Drosophila melanogaster: one gene and its partners. The protein of the gene in region 4 interacts with the protein of the main gene of each other region in a pairwise test. Each region holds a gene or a part of one and is shown on either strand. Other genes may lie near its edges. The genes, in order: mdlc, CG13843, fok and CG43338.

Region 1 (4,113 bases), on a different chromosome or scaffold from region 4:
TTTGAAATTGATTTACATGGGCCATATGGCTAAGGGCTTACCATGGGGCTTTGTTGTGTGCCAACTGCCATTAAATGGCTAATTAAGATTTCAGTCCGCTGGCAGTCGTCCAGCAGCTGGCCGCAAATCTCACGCCTTTTCAAATCCCTTTTTTTGGTACCCGATTTTCCGACCCGTTGGTATATAAAACACAAAAGCGCGCGAAGTTACACAAACAAAGGGGGGTCCAAAAAACAGGACTATCTCGCGCACACACGCAGTCACGCAAATACAGAGCTGGCGACTCCGATTGGTCCTAGTAAATATGGCGCCAAACGAGTCGAGAATGTCGCCTTTTGGTACCTCCGTTCGGTTCGGTTCCCTCTGTCACTAGCACATCTATTCCATCAGACGGCGTTTTTTCTACTGATGAATGAATCGTACGCAGGATGCCAGGATGCGGAAAGTTTCCAGCATGCCGTGGACCAACAACCGGAAAGCTTTTACTACGTTGCGAGCTTTTACCCTTACCACAAGTCCGGGAAAAAGTCCTTAGGAATTCGACGAATGCTGAATACCCATTACTTAAGTTTTTGTTTGTGAAAGGAAATTGCTGAACTTAAAACCGAAATAACAAAGTACACGCCATTTGTGTATAATCTTCTGTACATTGGCACCTAGAATGAATAAAAATATTTGTTTTTCAAAGTCCAAGTTCAAAGTTTAAAGTCAAGAATGTAAGAATACATTTTAGAAGCTCAGTCGAAATTGGTTTATTTACTGCCAAATTTACGTTGAATTATGGTTTCGGTGGAAACCAACGATTATGTACAAGCGGAATATCATCAAGCGGAAGCTGTGAGCAGGGCGGCATGGTAGGCGATGTGTTCGGCGACGAACGTGGCGATGTAGAAGTAGCTGTGATCGTATCCCTCGCGCTGCTTGAAGATGGTCTGGATGTGATCATTGCCATCTGCGGCAGCCAGCAGGTTCTCCGGCAGCAGCTGCTTGCCGGCCAGGAAGTTGTCTGCTGCACCTTGGTCGATGAAGAGCTCCTGCGGAGTGCTCTCGTACTGCGACACCAGATGCGTGGCATCCCACAGGGCCCAGTCATCCGGATTGGAGCCCAGATAGCCGGCAAAGGCCTTCTTGCCCCACGGGCACTCGGTGGGATTGGCAATCGGCGCAAAAGCGGACACCGACTGGTACAGCCCGGGATTCTTAAGCGCGCAGATCAGGGCTCCGTGGCCGCCCATACTGTGGCCGAATATACCGCGTTTACCGGGAACCACGGGCAGATTGGCATTGACCACATCCACCAGCTCCTGGGTCACATAGCTGTACATCTTGTAGTGCTTCGACCACGGCTCCTCCTTTGCATCCACATAGAATCCAGCCCCGCTTCCAAAGTCGTATGCATCATCTTGGCCGGCAATTTCCACGCCCCTGGGCGAAGTGTCCGGATTGACGACGATCAGGTTGTGGCGGGCGGCGTGCTGCTGGAATCCGCTCTTCTGGATGAAGTTCTCATGCGTGCAGGTCAGTCCGCTGAGGAAGAACAGCACCGGACACGGTTTACCCTCCAAAGCGGCCGGCGGCAGGAAGACGCCAAAGGTCATGTCGCACTTCAAGGTGTCCGAGCGATGGCGATACACGCGTTGCTCGCCCTCGAAGCACTTATTTGCGGACAGCTGTTCGAGCGTCATGTTCTGGGGGTGAAACGGAGTAAATAATTTGTAAGCTAAAACTGAAATCCATTAATTTTTAAAAACGCACTTGTTTTTTGACGATCTAAAAATAACAAGCGATAAGAAAACAGTGTGACCGCGTGTAGAGCGCCAAAAGTGGGAAGCTTTCAGAACATCTTGGTATCGATGATTAAAAGGGTAGATCCCATAGGAGTTAATATTTTCTAGAATTCTTTAAATTAATATAAATCTATTAATTATTACATATTGATGATGTATTAAATATGTAAAAATTGCAATTATTACAAACGAATATATTCCTCATAAGTAAACATTGAATTTTAATGTGCCCGTTTCATACAAAAATACTAACTCCATAACGATTGTTACGCAAGTACCATCACTAGCCGGGAAGAAGAAGCGCCAGTTGGCGAAATTGCTATTGTTAATTGTTGTTAACGTGAATTACTAGATAAGTACATAAATTTAAAAGCCGGAGAATGTCGGAAGAAGCGGCTAGCACCTCGTCCTTTGGCTTCAAGAAGCGGAACCTCAAGAAGGGAGCTGGAATTCGTCGCAAAAAGGAAACCAGCAGTGATGAATCTGGTAGGAACTTAATTTTACCGCCAACAAAGTAAATGGGCAAATATTATTGATATTCCAGCAAAAAGCAGCGATGAAGAGACCAAAGGCAAAGCCAGTGCTCTGGTGCGAGCCGAGAACCGCCGAAAGCGCACGAATCCCAACTTCCAGAGCACCAAGACAATGAGCAAAGCAAAGAGACAGGCGGGAGGAGTTGGTGATGATGGCTCATCCTCAGCCTCCGACGATGATAAACTGGGCATTGCGTACAAATCCAAACGCGAGGCGCTGCCCAGTGGACCCCAAGATCAGGGAGCTACATCGATTAACGAAATGGACACAGAATTGGATCGCGATGCGCAGGCAATTCATGCGCGAGCTCTGAAAATCAACGAAGAGCTGGAGGGCAAGGCGGACGATAAGATCTATCGCGGAATTAACAACTATGCGCAGTACTACAAGAAGCAGGATACAGCGGCAGGGAATGCCAGCTCCGGAATGGTACGAAGTGGCCCAATTAGGGCTCCTGCCCATCTTAGGGCCACTGTCAGGTGGGATTATCAGCCGGATATATGCAAGGATTACAAGGAAACAGGATATTGCGGCTTTGGCGACAGCTGTAAGTTTCTGCACGATCGCAGTGATTACAAAGCGGGCTGGCAATTGGAAATGGATCACGAAAATCAGCGAACGGGTGATGTAGACTCCGATGGCGATGATACCAAGTATGAGATTCACTCCGATGAAGAAACACTGCCTTTCAAGTGCCACATCTGCCGACAGAGTTTTGTCAATCCCGTGGTAACAAAGTATGAAGATGATAACGATTTCTAAACTGGATTTACTGAATAAATAACATATTTATCTTTCTTCCAGGTGCAAGCACTATTTCTGTGAAAAGTGCGCCTTGGCCCAGTACAAAAAGTCACAGCGCTGCATCATCTGTTCCCAGCAAACAAATGGTATTTTCAATCCCGCCAAAGAGCTGATAGCTCGCCTCAAGACAAACCCAATGGAAAACTCAGATAGTGATGAGGAGGAGGAATTTGGGAAAAAGGAGGATAAAGCGGAAGCAGGGGAGGAAGCTCAGGAGATTTCTTCGGATGATAGTGATTAAAATATTTTTTTAAATCATTTATACAGGTTGTGAAAGTAAATAGGGACATTGATTAGATGCTTCACATAAAATCCATTTTACAGCACATTTGCCGCATAAGTGTAGAAAGTAAAGTAAGGATTGTACCACCGATAGGTGGCGTGTAAGAAATTGTAAAACCCTTTGCCCCAAAGAGAATTGCTGATAAATCACTATTCTTACTTGTAACTAGAAAAATATATTTTGATAAGTTTTCAACCAAGAAATACTAGTTCTGTGGTATTTATTAAAATTTTTACTTATTTTTGGGCGATCTATTACGATTGGTTAACATACAAATTATGCACAGCAGTTCATCTGTAAGTTGTTTTAACACGTATATATGTATGTATTCATTATTATTTATAATTCATACTAAAATTTGATACATAGGGACGGGACTGGAAAGTTAATCGTGAAAAGCATTTTATAAAATTAATCACAACGAGGATTTTATATTAATGTTTAGTCCGCAGGACCTAAAAGCCTTACTCACCTCGGTCATAATGTGGCCAAAACTGAGCACAATGCTCCGTCGCTTGGGAAGATTTGAACAGGCGACTATGGAATATACGAATGAGCTTCTACCACTCACACTGGGCAGACGAAGGAAATTTCTTCCCATTCCCAAGGGAGCTGCAATAACTTTGTGATTTCGATCGAGTATTGCTTGACGTTTGAAACGATCAAAGGCCAACTTTGACCAAATTTAAACTTGGCAAGCAACTG
Region 2 (3,635 bases), on a different chromosome or scaffold from region 4:
GGAATTCGTGCACTTTCAGTCAGTTAAAACCCCATCAGGGGTTGCGAGAAAGAGATCATTTGAGACAATTAGACTACCAATGCGATAATTAACGAGGGAGAATTTTACGTTTAAAGGTCGTTCATCAGAAGACATCGGCATAATCTCGGCAACCAGAGGATTATCTCGAATTCGTGCAGTTGATTTTATATTTACCATGCTACTTATCCAGAATGAGGGTATTCGAGATCGGTTTCACCTGATTTAAAGCTACACAGTCAGATCGATTCGAATTTGAATTATCGTTCATATTTGCTCCGCCAAAGATTCTGCTGGACGGCTGTTTAGGAACGAGAATGAAAACTGCTTATACACATAGACTTATTATTACAAGAGTTGATAAACAATACTTACATCATTACCTATGCTATCATTATAAATGATAAAAATAAATTATTAATTAATGAACAATATCTCTACACAACCACAAGATGGAGAACATCGGCAGTAACAATAACGAAATGAGAATTGAGAAGAGGACAAGCGCATTAGCATTAAGCTTAAGCAATTACTACCATACCGTGTACAACTTGTTTTTGGTCTTTTGCGATACATTATCACATTTAACTGTGTAGGAACAGTTACTCCAATATTATGTACGGATTAATATATTTATTTAAACAACTATCGGTTGATTACGCGACATGTCCATGTAGCTAGAATATGAAATTAAATATCCATTACGGGGTAAAGAGAGATGGAGGAAAAAATAAAATTAAATGCATCATATATTTTTGAATATATTATGATTATGGTATTGTGTAATTATGTAAATGCAGACTATATAACATTGTTTATAATAATTTTTAACAATTCTACTGAAACGGCAATAAATTCGAAAATACAAACTAACTAAAAGTGAAAGCAACTTGCCTGCTGCAAACCAAGCGCCTAAATGTATGCATATTGTATATTTATTTTAACTGGCTTAAGAGGGCATCACTTAGTTTCTAAAGCAATACCCTTTCGATAACAATTCATTTAAGACAACTTGCCAACTTGTGGCGAGAAGGGAAACAAGAAGACGAACGTGGAGACGGTGATTTTTATGTGAACATTTATTACTAACTGATAAGCTTTGATTAAACTTAGGAAAGCCGTTATACTATGCATATACACATATATATAAATATATATATGAACTATATATAGTATATATGAATGCTCGTGTGAGCAACCAAACAATTACGATATGAATCATTAAATACTTCCGAAAGCATTAAATCCCTGCAGTTTGTCTAATCCTCCGCCTTGAACTTAAACGAGGTATCCGTCTCCATCAGCATATTTTCCAAACGTAATTCCAACTGGCGTCGCTTCAGATCCACCTTTACCACCGATGCCACAATGCGATCGCCAACGCTCAGCTGCGAATTATTCATGTTACTGTTGTGTATGAGGCCATTGCGCTCCACTCCAACGTCCACGAAGGCGCCAAACTGGGTTACGTTGGTCACGGCACCTGTGTGTCGGAATAGTTTCAATAAGTACATATATGAAATGACTATCATAGTCTCCACTTGCCAGTGACCACCTCGCCCATGCTAAGATCATCCAGCCTAGTTAGACCTTGTTTGAACAGTGGCCTCTTGTCCAGATCTGCTCGATAATCCTGAAGTAATTCGCGCTGCAGGGCAACCAACAGGAACTCCAACTGAAAGGAAATTTATTTTAAATTATTTGAACATTGCAATAGGCCTGTTTAGTATAGATTGAGTGGCACTTACTCGCTCCATGGGCAGCTTGTGCTGCTTGGCAATGCGATCGAGATTAGGCTGGGATGAGGCAAACTGCTTGATGCTAGCTATAAAGGCAGCCTTGCCCACATCCGACAGCTTTAAGTCACATTCTCCGACAATACTGAAAGCACAAAAAGTATTTGGTTTTAGAGTTAAGTTTTCAAATTTTCCATTATAATGATTGCCAAGCTAAAGCAGGAATATGCGGAGCGCTGGCATTATCCTCCAATTGTGCCGCCAGCCAAGCTTCGATATGTTGCATGTGGAAAGGTAGCATTCTACGGCCACAACGATAAGCCGAAATACAAGCCCTGCTGGCAGCATCCGCTCAATGTGCAGGATCAAACCCGCTTTGGAGTTTGCTGGGAGTATCCGCCGGAGCGGTACAAGCGTCGTCCGCTTCCGCCACCGTGCCGGGGATCGACCATTCCCATCCATTTGCTGAAGCCAACCTTCAAGCATTGTGAGAATATCTACTCCCGCTACGATTTTAAGCTTGAGCAGTGTGTGCACGAGCAAACTCTAGTAGTTGACCAGAAAATGAAGGCCCTGAAGAATGAGCTGGAGCAGGCCAAACCATTTCAGATTGAGAGGGTTAAGGAGATGCGTTACCATGGAGTGCGTTATCGCATTTTAGCCAGCTCGACCGGATGCACTAAGACCTATCCCGAGTACATAAGCCGGATGACCGAAGAGCGGGCCCTTTGCGAGTTTCAGAGAGCCTACAATATCGTCAATCAGTCAAAGTAAGTCTATTAAAAATACACAGCCACTGCTAATTTAAAACTTTTTAGCACCGATTTGAGCAATTTATACCTGGACATGAGTGAGTCGAAAAAGGAGCTAGATCAACGCGTAGCCAGGTTGGACCGGTCTTTAGGAAGTACATTCTTGAAAGAGCTAGATTCGGTGCTGCAAATAATCGAGGACTTAAACACGTATTTCTTTGGCGTGATCGTGAAGCTAAAGACGTGGGCGGAGCTGATGGACCCTATGAAAGAGCACTCTATAGAGGACTATCTGGGGCTTTTGAGTCAGGAGACGGACTTCCGGACTTTTATGAGTGCCGGCATGGAGAACTGCACCTGCAAGCGTTGCGACAAGAAGGATCCCTTGAAGCCGTACCTTCCGTGCTGGTGTCAAATGGAATCTAGCGAGGATGTTACAAATCTTAAGAATTTTGACGACGATTGTCCAAAGAACATAGCTGGCATCACGCAACACGAAAGTGACATTGTGACACCTAGTGACACCTCCTTGTTAGTGAGGGCAGCGGATGAAAAGGCCAGGCTTGCGATGAATCAGGCGGAATAAAGTCTCATTATTATTGGTTAATGAAGTCAATTGAATATTGGACTTACCTTTCCACAACGTTGTAGCTCTCAGGATGCACCCAAGTGCAATCTAATGGATTCTGTAGTTGTCCTCCAACGCTTCGGGGTTCGATGCGCACAAAACCGGCGCACTGGACAAACGATTTCTCACCTATGCTTCGCACGGAGAGCAGATCCTTCCGTGTCTTGAATGGTCCTTTCTGCGTACGATGCTCAATGATCTTTTCCGCTTTCTTTTCCGACAGACCAGCAATGTGCCTATATGGTGGAGAATATTAAAAATATATAACTTATTTGACCCTTAATCACACATACTTGAGTACACTCAGACTGGCTGTGTTGAGATCAACGCCAACATAACTGACACACTCGGACACAACGTCATTCAGCGATGCCGTCAAAATCTTCTCGGGAACATCGTGCTGGTACATACCAACCCCCAGGTGACGGGGCTCTATTTTAACATATTCACTCAATGGATCATTCAAACGACGCGCTATGGACACTATACAAAATATGTTTG
Region 3 (5,833 bases), 1.4 Mb from region 4:
TTCAAGGAATGGAAAATTGACAATCTAAACCTTCGAGTGTGTGCTTCGATTGTGGACTCGGTGCGATAAGGAGGGACGAAATGATAAGACAACGCCCAACTGTTTGCGTAAAGCTACCGTGACAAAGGCACCTACTGATGGTCGTTATCAGCAACCGCTGTGCGGGAATCGAAAAGTTGTTGTGCAAACAAAATGCATCCACATGCAAGTACACGGAAGAAATAGGCTCAGAAATAAAACTCACTAATTGGTGCATCGCAGTGCTTTCAAAATGTTGGTTACATATTCGTTTAGTAAGATATTTGTTTACCTAATTACAAATGCATTGGCCATCCGTTGCATTTTTATCTGATAGTTTTTTTTTTTTTGTAGTGTAGTGTATGCATACGTATGTATATATGTATGTATTCAAATAAAGCTTCGTATTAGCTAGTTAGCACACATTCTTGGCAGTGTGCGTAAGTGACACTTGTTTGATTAAGCAGGTCAGCACCGTGGGCCAAACAAGAGCGGGCACCGAAAAGAGGATGGTTGATTACACAAACTGCGCAGCAGCAGCGGCGTAGGCGTGCACAGTGGTCGCAAGTGCAGAAATATGCCTTGAAAAACAGCTACCATAGGTGACCTTAGGGGCCCGTCAGTGTCGTCTGGTCAGAATCTGGGTCCGTGGTCCGTTAACCGCAAATTAATACAATTAATGGCGACACTCTCTGTTAGTCATTCACGTACCAAAGCGTACCACATTAAAAAAAATCTTTTTTCCTAAATATAGCCCTCTACGTCCTCCCACCTTTAGAAATCAGTCACGATCTCCTCAAAAGTAACTGAAATGAGCGTGCACCAAAACATAAACCGCAGGAAGGCGCTAATATAGGCGGTATGCTTTTTGAGCCAAAACAGCAAAACCTTGATCGGAACCGGCTAAAATGACGTAGACTGCCAATTAACACTAGATTTAAACAAATTTTTCAAATGTTCAAAAACCTCTAGGCAAAGTAGTGAAAAAGTGCAGCTGGTGGTTTACACGCCTAGAATGCCACACGCTGGAAATACAGTCCATTTTGACCATGGAAAGTTTATAAAAAAAAAGAACACTCCAATTTGGGCTCTCAAAAGTGTTCAATCCGCTTGGCAACCAAATTTGGTTTCAGAAATAAGGCTAAATCACGGCATGGTCGGCCTGCAGTCTAGACCGTGATTAGCGCAGCTTATAAAAACACAAATGTCCATCCCATCCTCCAGATGATCAGCCGTCGAACATCCGTCCGATCACTCTCATGATTACTTTTTCGTCATCTCCGCGGCATTAGCGATTCGCCGCTAATAAGAAAAACTTCCAAGAGTATTCCTCATGCCCCGGCTAATTAATATTTATTAAAAATTTTCAAACTAACACAGGGTGAATCACTTGGAAAATGCTTGCTTCCACGGCAGAGGTGATTTCGAGAGTAGCGAACCAATGTGCCCCAAGCGAGAGGTGTGTGGCACTCGAAAGGGGAGGGGTCGGGTGGAAGGTGAAACTCTGACAAAAGCACGAGACGCGAAAACACAACAAAACACAATGCCACACATACGTGTTTACAACCAGGCACACAAATATTTTAGTACAAGTGCGGGCAGCATAGTATATACACCTATTCCAAGTACTACAGACATTAAAGAATATTTAAAACAAATTAAAGTCCATTCATTCATATACACGTGCCCTAAACGTTTTCCCGCGACTGTCCACACACATTCACACGTAGGCACATGAGAAGTAAATATAGGGGAGACCCGAAGTGGGCAGCAAAACAAGAGCCGAAGTATCGCCAGCGCACGAGAGCTACAAAAATGCAGTAATTCTAGTGTTCGGCTTTCAGTTTCACGAGAGACCTCCAACAGAATACATCGAATTTCGGCGAGAGATTTGCAGCTCAAGAAGAAGAAAGAAGGAAAACCTCTGCGAGTCACCTCCACGCAAAAGTGCACCAAAAAGCGTTGTTAAAAAAACAAAACAAAGTGATTTTAAAAGCCAGGTTCATTGGACGCCCGAGCCAATCGAGAGACAAAGTGAAACGACCTCGCACAACGCGCGCAAAAAGAGAGAAAGAAAGAAAAACACACACCCACATTACAAACACAATTCACATCCCGTTGATTGGCACTGCAGTTCGCAAAAATAGTAACGAAACACCGCACAGCACAGACATGGATGTTTGGGGATTCTGCGTCAGCGACACCACAATGGCATATGGCGGGTCCATGCGCAGCGGCTACTACCGCGACTACGAGGAGTTCCCCTATGGTACCCTGGAGTCCACCACTTCCTCACACGCGGTCAAGGACTGCTACAGTCGAGTGCAAGGTAATTTTTGGCGAAAAAACAGATAGCGCTCAGAATGCACTGGCAAAAAAGGGGCGAGATTGAAAGCAGACGCGTTTCTCACTTGTTTTTGTGTATTGCGTGTGTTGTTTTGTTGTTTTTGCAACCATTTATAAATAGCCAGCCTGATTTCTTAGCCCCATGTGCATAAGTGTGTGTGTGCGTGTGTGTGTGTGTAGAACACGCCTTAATTTTTGCGCACAAGCACAGGGTGTCCAAAGTTTCGCGGCGCAAGTCACCTTATCAAGTAGGTTCCACACCCCCTCGATTTTGTTTTTATTTACGGCTTGAATCCACGTGCTAAAGATATTCGCGCTTAATTGCACACACAAAGCGGCTAAAAGCCCACAAGGTTCCTTACGAATTTCCGGCATTCCAAAGTTAAAGCGCAATTCAGATGGGCATACAAAAAGAGTATATCGTTACTTTGTCACTCGTGGAAAATCATAAAAGGCAAAGATATACTTTTTGTGGCAATTTCAGAGGTGGTTAAACCCGCTCTTATCGAGGTCACTACTCAAGTCCATTAAGACACACTCTGCACTCGAATACTTTACGATTATTAATTACACAGACAACTAAGCAAGCACTAAGACTTGGCTGTACCTCCAGAATCGGCTCTCAAAAGTTAAGCAGGTGGTCGCACAATGGATTCTTTTATAGGGAAGAACAAACAAAGCAGGGTTTCATTGTGTTTGAGTGCCAAAACTGAAGCGCAATAACGAAACTGAGGTGTGTAAATGTTAAACCTTCGTGCTGTTTTCGTCCATATAGTATACATATACGCGTAGTGCATTATCGGGTTGCAGAGAAATAAAAAAAAAACAAGTGAAAAATTATGCAAGGCAAATATCTAGCTTACTTTAAACTTTAGATTCACATGTCTGTACATACACAACTCAATTCGTATTTGAATGGTAGCATGCATATGTGTGTAAATATCCAGTTTATAAAGCACTTTTTTCCCCCAGTGTGGAACACATTTAGAGATTATGCAAGGTCGCTTATCGGCGGCTATAAATAGACTTTCCTCATGGATCGGCTGGGCTTTAATCAATAATAACCGTTTAGCTTTTAACACGGTCAATTGAGCAATCAAAGCAATGGTTTAATTAACGGAGGCAGGTCACAAAAGCACACAAGCTGTAAGTACAGTTGTGCTCAATGTAGTAGTTGTGTTACAGTCGTCGAAAGACAACAATGTTTTCATTAAAACCAAAGATTAGATAGATTCAACTTTTTAAAATAGGTTTCTAAAATCCAGTGCATGATAATATTAAATATATAGCTGCCTCCGTCACAGGGTCACACGTCGAGTAGCGGGAAAAATTGTGCGAGCGTGGGGAGGGGCGCCATCGGTGGCGACGTGACGTCGTGAACGTAGACGCAGCGACGTCACGTAGTCAAATCAGCTGTTCGACGGCCCAGAAGGGCACGTAGGCTAAAAGGCAGAGTGGAAGCGAATGCGGGAAACAACAGACGAGGGTGAACATTCAGTGCCGACCTTCACTAACCGGTGACCTATCACATTGCTCCCATTGCAGAAAAGTGCAAGCAGATAAAGTCCGAGAAGCAGATGCGCAAGGACTGCCCATTCTGCAAGGAGCACAAGAAGCGGCCGCTCATCAACTACATGCGCAAGCGGGAGCAAAGGAAGCACCATGACAGCATCTGCGAGGACGAGGAGGACATGCACGAGCACGAGCATGAGCTGGAGCACACCCACAATCACAGCCAGTCGACCGTCCTTGCCGCCCCGCAAAGCTGCAAGGTGTGAGTGGGAGCGAGACGAATCTACTGCGGACGGTGCCCGCAGCATTCGCGAAATGCCATATATGTATACAGATGTGTAACCTAACCCAGAAGAAAGGAAACCTGAAAGAGTAAGAACAAAAACAAAAACAAAGAAAACCCGAGGAGAAAAGAGAAAAAGCTGTCGAAGACGAAGATTGCGCGAGAGAGCGAGACAGCAGCCTGCAGCTACAATAATCTAAGGCAACTGTACCCCTATTTTTTTTAAAATGGTTGCCCAGCATTTCCGCGTTGCGAATACACTACCATTTACAAAAGCCAGAACCACTTGATACCAATTTACAACTACCTTTTTCATTATCTAGCCCTTCGTTTTTACACCAACTTCGCAGTTATGTACAACTACAAACGGCACTTTGTTTACCGACAAACAATAGCGCACGACGAAAAAATCAAGTAACGAAAACCTGCCCCGCTTGACCAACGCATTTTTTGACCTTAGGCAAAAAAAAAAAAAAAAAATTATATATGTAACACAAGGGAAGCAAAAACTGAATTTTCTATTTTGCATACGAGACTGAGTAAATTGCAGTAGAAAATTTTTAAGCGAAATTTTTGTTATTTTCGTTGCTTTAGTTTGGACCCAATTGGATCAGTTACAGGTATTACCATATAAGAAAGAAATAATGAAAACTATAACGATCAATCAAGGTTTTGCAACTGTTATTTTCTCGATATATGCGTAGTACATACTTTGGACCCCGATTTTTATTGTATCCTTGTCTATATTAGACATTCCCCTATATTTATTGTAATACCAACTGAGCGTTGCACAGTCCGAGCAAGTGTCAAAATGAAATCAAATCGAAATATGTATGTAAAAGTTGAAATTGTTCAAAAGTTTATGCCTGGTTACATTTTGTTAACTCAACTTGTCGTTACAGAACAGAAATTGTTATTAATTTTTGGTGTTCAGACTCAGCTGTGCAAAAAGACGGACGGAAATATTATAAAAACGATTTAACAATTGCATTAGTCATTTAAGTAATTGATCAAAATGTAATGATTTGTGTAAAATTTGCTTGCAGGTTCCAAGAAAATTTTCAATTTATACAATGTTATATATCATATATATTATATATTAATGGTTAGTTTAAATTATATGTAAACCGAATAAAACGACAAATGATTGAAAAATTTAAGTTAAAATGCGTACTTGTATCTTGAGGGTTACTTGAGGAAATTACGATTAAAAGAAAGGAGATATCATTCATAGTTGCTACGATTTCTAAAAGTTAGACACCTGTTCCAATTACATACGTTGAGGTGGGTCAGTTTGGACTTAAATTTTCCAAATAAAAGTCTTAATTTCTTATGCAAATCTTTACGGAAATCTTTCCGTCTCGCACCAGTTTACTAATTGAAGTTAATCTGTCTTTTGTCTGTCTGAACTCAAAATGTTCCGCCGCTTGAAAACGTTAAATATGATAAGTAAGTACTTGATGGCTAAGGTCAGGTTTTAGGCACTAAACTGGGAACTAAGCGAAAGCACCTCGAGCCCCAATAAACCGACCTGGAACTTGACCATGCACTATCCCACCTTGCAAGCGAATGTCCAGGGATGCCAGCTCCCAAGTGATCCAAATGAAACCCCAGTCAACTAAGCCGAATTGAATTAGAGCAACGAACGTTTGGCACGGGTAGATGAGATCATCC
Region 4 (6,589 bases):
GGATGCGGAAGAGGGAGAGCGGAAGGAAGACCGTTCAGGAGGCCATAGAAAGCATTAAATTGCGTTCGTCCATGATGACCGAGTTGAATATCAAATGCCAGAAGGCGGCCATCGAGTTCCTATCCGTTCGCCTGCTGAAGCAACTGCGTCTGTTTTCCAGTCCTTGGCCCGGAAAGATCGACGAGATTCCCTACAATCTGTTCAAGTGGTCGCTGGATCACTTCCTGGCACGACTGGAACATAACCAGTTGTACCTGGACGTGATCCATCGCGAACGGAGTTCCGAGGATCTCGACTGCGTAAAGTTCCGAACTGATCTGAAAGAGATCGAACAAATTCTACACGAAATGCGAGAGGACTTTCAAAAGGATGACGACCTTTGCGAAAATAGCATACAACTAATACGGTATTGGCCCCATTTCCATCAAGAAGAACATTCTATATTGGAAACACTTATATTCTTAGAGATTGCAAGTACAACACGGTTGGTGCTTGGATTAAGGACCTCAAGGACAATTGCCGGATCAAGGAGGGAATGAGCAACAGTAGCCTGGCAGTGGAATCCAGCGTATCCAGTCTGGATATCAATCGAACTGCACTCGTAGACCTCTTCGAGGGCAGTAGTTGTGAGTTGTAAAATATTACAAAAATTTAATGTATCTTTTGTACATTTTCATAGTGACTGATCCGATACAGATGCGTTACCATATCAAGTGGGTAAACAGCTGTATGGATCAGAGACTAATGCTTAACTGTAAGCGCGAGGATCTGCTGAGGAAGGAGTTAATGGAACTGAAAACCAAGCTGGAACAGGACATGACGGTGCAGCGCAGCTCGGAGATGATATACTCCTGGGAAGTGGAAAAGCTTAAGACACGCAATAGGGAGTGGGAGGTCAAGCTGGAGCGGGATCTGGAAAGCGCCGAGGTGCAGTGCACGATCGCCAGGCTCGCACTGCAGAAGGTCAAGGACGATCACAAGCTCTGCTTGGAACAGGAGGAAATGTACCTTCGAAAAATAGCCGAGATCAAAAAGTTGATGGAAACGCAAACTAAAGCTCGTCAACAAAAACAGGTGGGCTATATAGATATTTCCCTTTACAAGCCTTTACAAATTAGTTAATCTTAAAGATGATATGTAATTGAAAATTAATATAAATTGTTTAATTTCGCTAGGCAAAATAAGCAACGGAAGTGAAATCACCATGTATAAGCGCCAGGAATCCAAAATGAAGCAGGCGAAATGCTGGAGCTCATCAAAATTCGACAACTATTATTTATGTTGGCAACCCAAACAAAATAATCAAAATCCCGAAATGCATGAACTTAACCCCAAAGGGTTGTTGCCTTCAAAGTCACTGTCAAAGGATCAGGCCATTAAGGGGGTTATTCCATCGGACGGGGAGTGGGCGCCAAGTTAGGGCAAACATTTACCATATTCATTATTTTTGGCGGAGACAAATGAAATTACAGGCAAACGGCTGCGGGGTAACTGCCCCTCCTACCACTCTACGGCTATTGCAGTTTAGAAAATCGAATTATGTGCACTTTAGTCACCGTAGTTACCCACCAGGAACCACACCCTCACCATCTAGTGTAGTATCGCCTCATGCATAGTTATTTTATGCGCCGTGGCAACCTGAAAGTTGCCGCATAACTTTGCCTCTTCTTGTTGCCTGGTCGGGTCGGGTGTATTATTTACGCTTAGAAAACATAGAGTAGAATTTTTCCAACGCCAGTCGGAGGCGGATCGAGTTCATCCGGATAAAATCCATTGGAATGCCACTTAATCCGCGACCCACGACCAATGGCAACACACCCGAGGACTGGCAGGTGTTCGAGGTCTTGTTCGGTGCTGATCAGGACCCGAAAACGATTCCCGCACGGATGACCACAATGTCACCTTTGCCACAACCAGCCATTCCATTTTGCCAGGTGAGTAGTTTTTGTCGCTTAACTATTTTGCCAAAATCGTGCGCCAAATTGCCATAAAAGCGTGTAGACATCATATCAAGATAGATTTATGTGAATTCGCAATTGAATAACGACTTTTGTTCGCTATTTTTTATGTTTCAAATGTATGCGGTTGTTAGGGGAACTAATGATGTTTGTGGGGGGATTTGCATAAAACTCGATTGGTCTGGGGGATACAGTGGTTCGTATTGCCATGTGGGTGGGGCTGCATAATCAAAATATACATATGAATGATTGTAAAGCTATTCATAAACACACAATAGGATAAAATGGAGCCATTGCATCTAATTTACTGAATTGAGGACTTGTGAAAGCCTAAGGAGCAAGCCCAAAATCAAGTTCAATGAAATATCTTTTAAATGTTTGAAACATTTCCCATTTCGCCCATTTCAATTTCATTAAAGAGGCAACCTGAATTGGCTTCATAATTAACCCGGCCAAGCTTATCGAATGTTCAACACATTTCAGTTCCCAATTGTCTTGCCGTTGCTCCTTCCTAAATTGCAGACAATTGGCCAAAAGTTGCACACCTCATTTTCCGTTTCCGGCCAAGTTGAAAATTTCCATCGTATATCCATCCACCTAGCCCCGGAGCACCCAAAACCCCAAACCCTGTGGCGTCCGCACTTGCGTGCGTGAGTCCGTTGTGGATATTGCATTTGATACTTCGCCACTTGGCGCCATGTGAATGACCCAAATAATCCAAACAAACTGCAAAGTTTCCCCCATGTGTAAGTGTAATCGTGGCTACACCTTTCGAGCTCCACACGGCTGCCCCCCTATCCAAAGCCCCTTGCTCCTGCCATTGAGCTCGTTTTCACTTGGAGCATAAATTTGAGCACTGTGTGATGTTATGTTGGGGTAAATTCCTCGGTGCCATGCATCGGACTCCCCTCAGTTGTTAGGTGGAGGTTGTTAGGCTTCCGAAAGTGGTTATTCCCGAACCAAAGTTCAGTTCTTCGACGGCTTTTACTGGGAACAGTTGACTTGGTTCTTGGAGTGCTTTAAATATTCGTGGCTCTAAATATGCCCAGTGAAAATCATCTGCATCACCATCACTTGGGACACACTGGTGGATTATCTCCGCATCATCATCACTTGGTGGGCATTGGGACAATGTTAATGCCATCACAGTTAAAAATTACATATTATAATTAAAAGTACAATTAAAATTTACAAAAAATAATGAAAGTCTGAATGGTTCAAAACCATTTTATCTTAAATTGTATAAATATAACTTTAATAACAGGAAAATGTGAAAATGGTACATTTATTTAATAGAGCCAATATATTCAAGAATGTAGAAAGTATACATTTTTTGAAAATGTTTTCTAAACTAGGAAATTAGATAAATTTATATGTAATTAATTAATAACTCCGCAAATCAAAACCTTTTGTGTGTTCTCCAAATTTAAATGCGATTATCCAGCTGGACACATCCTGCAGCAATACGGGAATCACTGTGACAGAACATCATCATGGTCTCGACTTGACCACCACACTGCGCAGTGAACTGGCTGCGTTGTCCTACAAAAAGGAGCGACTTACGGGGGAGGTAAATAAAAGAATCAATTTATTATAGAATCAAGTAATGCAAAGGATATACATATACTTACACTTATCCTAGCTTGCTGAAGCGCGTGCAGCATTGTGCAGCAAAGATGCGGATATCGAGAATCTGCGAGCCCAGGCTGCTCGGCAGACTGCCCTCATCGGATCCCTCCAGAGTCGTCTGCAAAACTCGGAGAGCAGGGAGCAGGCTGTCCAGGCCCGATGTGATTCCACCATTCAGACGGTGCAGCGGGAGAAGCGTAGCTCCGACGAGCGCAACAAAGAGCTAATCTGCAAGATACAGCATCTGGAAACGCATATGGCCAGTGAGGAATCGCAAAAGGAGCAGATCAAGGCTCAGCTGCACGATCTCCTGCGACGCCTTAGCATCACTTTGGGAATGGATGTGTGCGATGGCAATCAGAATTCCCATGCCACACCCGAGTGCATCATCTCGCGGGCCGAGGAGGTGATGGTGGAGCTGCAAAGGACGAAAGCCAAGGTCAGTTCCACCTGCGACACGCTCAGCTCCTGCGAAAATGAACTGCTCAACTTGAAGTCGCTGGCCAACATTGAGAAGCAGCGGCTCACGGCCCAACTTGATGGAGCTGGCAATCACAACCACGAGTTGGAAGGACGCTGTCGCCAATACGAAAGGGATCTTCAGATCCAAAGAGATCGCTTGACTGAATCGGAAATCAACGGCGAGAAGCTCAAGGAAGAGCTGCGCGGCTTTGAGTCGCGATGCCATCGTTTGCAAAACAACCTGGACCGGACTCAGGGCGATCGTCTGCAGTTCTTGCGGGGATTGAGCAATCTCTTGAATGTTCCCGAACCGTGCGAAACGCTCATCAAGGACAAGCTGAGAGAGATTCTGGCGGAGAACCAGGCCATGCATGCGGTAATCGAACTTATTAATTCATAATTCATTTAAACAATAAACCAATTTGTATACCCTCTAGCAAATGCACTCTCTGCGAGATCAGCTGAACTCGGAGCATGAGAAGCTTAAGGAAACCCAACAGACCACCGAATGTCGCCTCCGTTCTGGCGAGGCTCAGAAATGTGAGCTAACTGAGCGCTTGGAGAAGTGCCATGCCGAGATCCATACTCTTCGAAAGGATCACATGGGTCTATCGGAGTTCCTGCAGCGACTGGCCCTCGCGATGAACTGGGGTGAGTGCTCTGCCCCTCCGGCTCTTGGAACTGATACCAATCTAATGGCGGAGAACTTGCTTGAGAGAGCCGAGAGACTCGCCGCTCACTGCGACCACGAGGCACCTCATCATCATCATCATCATCACAGTCCGGATAAGGGTTGCTGTGATCACGGACATGGTCATGGGAAACTTCGCCGCGAGAGATCCTGTCATGACATTCCCCTCAAGGAAAGCAGCAGTGTCTACAACCTGCAGCGACGTGTTCGAGTTCTCAGGGAGCAAGTGCAGCGACGGGATCTCCACCTGGAGCTACTGCGTCGCAAGCTGGCCATCATAGAGGACGGTGCGCGAGGAAAGTGCATGTTGCAGGGTGAACGGGATGAGGCGGTTTGCCGGGCCAAGAAGGCGGCCAAGCAGGTGGACAAGTTGAGTGCCCAGCTGGCCGATGCCCGATCTCAGATAGCAGAGGTCAAGGCCCAGCTAGCCGAGGCTGTGGAGTATAAGATCACCTCGTTGGAGAGGGCCAGAAAGATCGATGAGCTGACCACACAGATATGCGATCTGGAGGATGAGAAGACGCGCCTGCTCTCCCAACTTAATGCCCTGAAGGAGCGCCTCAAGTCCTCCTGTGAATCCAATCAGAATCGCAGATGCCGCGATGAGGCGCTAATAAATGTAAATAAAAGTATAGTTTATGTAAAAATTCACATACTAAATCTTTCTTGAAATTTTTAGTCTATGCGCGATGATGTCAGTCGCTTGAGCTCCCAACTCTCGGATGCCAATCAGCGGCTTTCGCATTTGCAATCCTTCCGCACATCGGTGGCCAGGACACTGCATCTTCGCGACCTGCCGGAAACGGATCTTCTGCATCGCCTGCAGGCCCTGTGCTCGGCACATCAGGAGTTCACAATGCTTTCGAAACGCTATGAGACAGCTTCGCCAGTTGGAGATCATCCGTGTCCTCGGTTCGATGATCCCATACCGCCATCCAGCCACTGTCGCCCGCCAAGGGAGCTCAGTCCTCCGCCAACTTCCTTCCACCATAAGGCGACCATCCATTCAGGCAGCAGCCATCACTCACCACCGTCTGAGCATCATCATGGTTCCAGCAGCCATGTGCACAATCACCACGGACATGGACACGGACACGGTCACTCATCGCATTCCAGGCGGCAGCGAAGTAAAAGCCGGGACAAACGACTCCACGATGAGTGCTTCGACACGGATGTGCATCGACTGCACCATGGCTGCAAGGAGGAGCTACTGGCCACCGGATCGGAGGATGACTATGACTTCAAGAGCAAATACTGCTAGAGTACTAAACTTTTTCTTTGCATTTGTATTTTTTCAAAATAACTCAGAATAATATATGGTTTCTACATTTCGGAAAATCTAAGTTTTTTGTGGCAGATTGATTATTCTGGTTGATCATCACGTATTTCGGGAGGATAAGGATAAGAAGGAAAGGACTGGTCTTCATCGCAGTCCCTACTGGTGGCACAAGTCCAACAGCATTCCGGAAATTTTAGCAACAAGTCCATGGCCTTATCGTCCTGGCAGCCACTGCTCGGCAAAGTGCGAGGACAGCTGGAAAATAGCTTGGATATCATATGCATTAGGGTATATCATTTCAAATTGGATCGATCTTACTAGTAGACATGAGTAAGTCCTTCGGAGTTCATGCAAACCTGCACGCCGCAAGTGTTTGGATCACTGACTTCCTCGCCGGGTTGTAGGGCAAAAACATCGTATTGCTTCTTTTTACCCACTCGAACATGGATGGGGTAACACTGGCCGGGGTACTCTACCAAAGCGTTTTAATGAGACTTTATTATTCTTACATATAAAGTTTTCTCAACGCATTACTCTCATTGTGCAGTATCTTCACAAAAACCATGGACT

What was found.
Region 1: the proteins of CG43338 (region 4) and mdlc interact in a two-hybrid assay, tested with the Drosophila melanogaster proteins (one large-scale study listed by BioGRID).
Region 2: the proteins of CG43338 (region 4) and CG13843 interact in a two-hybrid assay, tested with the Drosophila melanogaster proteins (one large-scale study listed by BioGRID).
Region 3: the proteins of CG43338 (region 4) and fok interact in a two-hybrid assay, tested with the Drosophila melanogaster proteins (one large-scale study listed by BioGRID).

What each region holds. Positions count from the first base shown.
Region 1 is NT_033777.3:20,055,687-20,059,799, forward strand, and holds mdlc (midlife crisis), read left to right. Parts: upstream 1-2,061; 5' UTR 2,062-2,167; coding exon 2,168-2,273; intron 2,274-2,331; coding exon 2,332-3,058; intron 3,059-3,125; coding exon 3,126-3,366; 3' UTR 3,367-3,605; downstream 3,606-4,113. Other genes in the region: CG4390 (uncharacterized protein), read right to left, coding at 825-1,688, 3,881-4,009.
Region 2 is NT_033777.3:22,607,583-22,611,217, forward strand, and holds CG13843 (uncharacterized protein), read left to right. Parts: upstream 1-1,902; 5' UTR 1,903-1,955; coding exon 1,956-2,524; intron 2,525-2,572; coding exon 2,573-3,092; 3' UTR 3,093-3,133; downstream 3,134-3,635. Other genes in the region: CG31156 (uncharacterized protein), read right to left, coding at 1,278-1,501, 1,564-1,693, 1,767-1,899, 3,140-3,370, 3,428-3,617.
Region 3 is NT_033779.5:20,081,092-20,086,924, reverse strand, and holds fok (fledgling of Klp38B), read left to right. Parts: upstream 1-1,854; 5' UTR 1,855-2,190; coding exon 2,191-2,347; intron 2,348-3,909; coding exon 3,910-4,142; 3' UTR 4,143-5,319; downstream 5,320-5,833.
Region 4 is NT_033779.5:18,666,377-18,672,965, reverse strand, and holds CG43338 (uncharacterized protein), read left to right. Parts: upstream 1-1,719; 5' UTR 1,720-1,778; coding exon 1,779-1,934; intron 1,935-2,922; exon of another isoform or gene 2,923-2,999; coding exon of another isoform or gene 3,000-3,074; intron 3,075-3,402; coding exon 3,403-3,528; intron 3,529-3,600; coding exon 3,601-4,425; intron 4,426-4,486; coding exon 4,487-5,359; intron 5,360-5,417; exon of another isoform or gene 5,418-5,419; coding exon 5,420-6,001; 3' UTR 6,002-6,074; downstream 6,075-6,589. Other genes in the region: CG43339 (uncharacterized protein), read left to right, coding at 1-406, 466-626, 680-1,074, 1,176-1,184.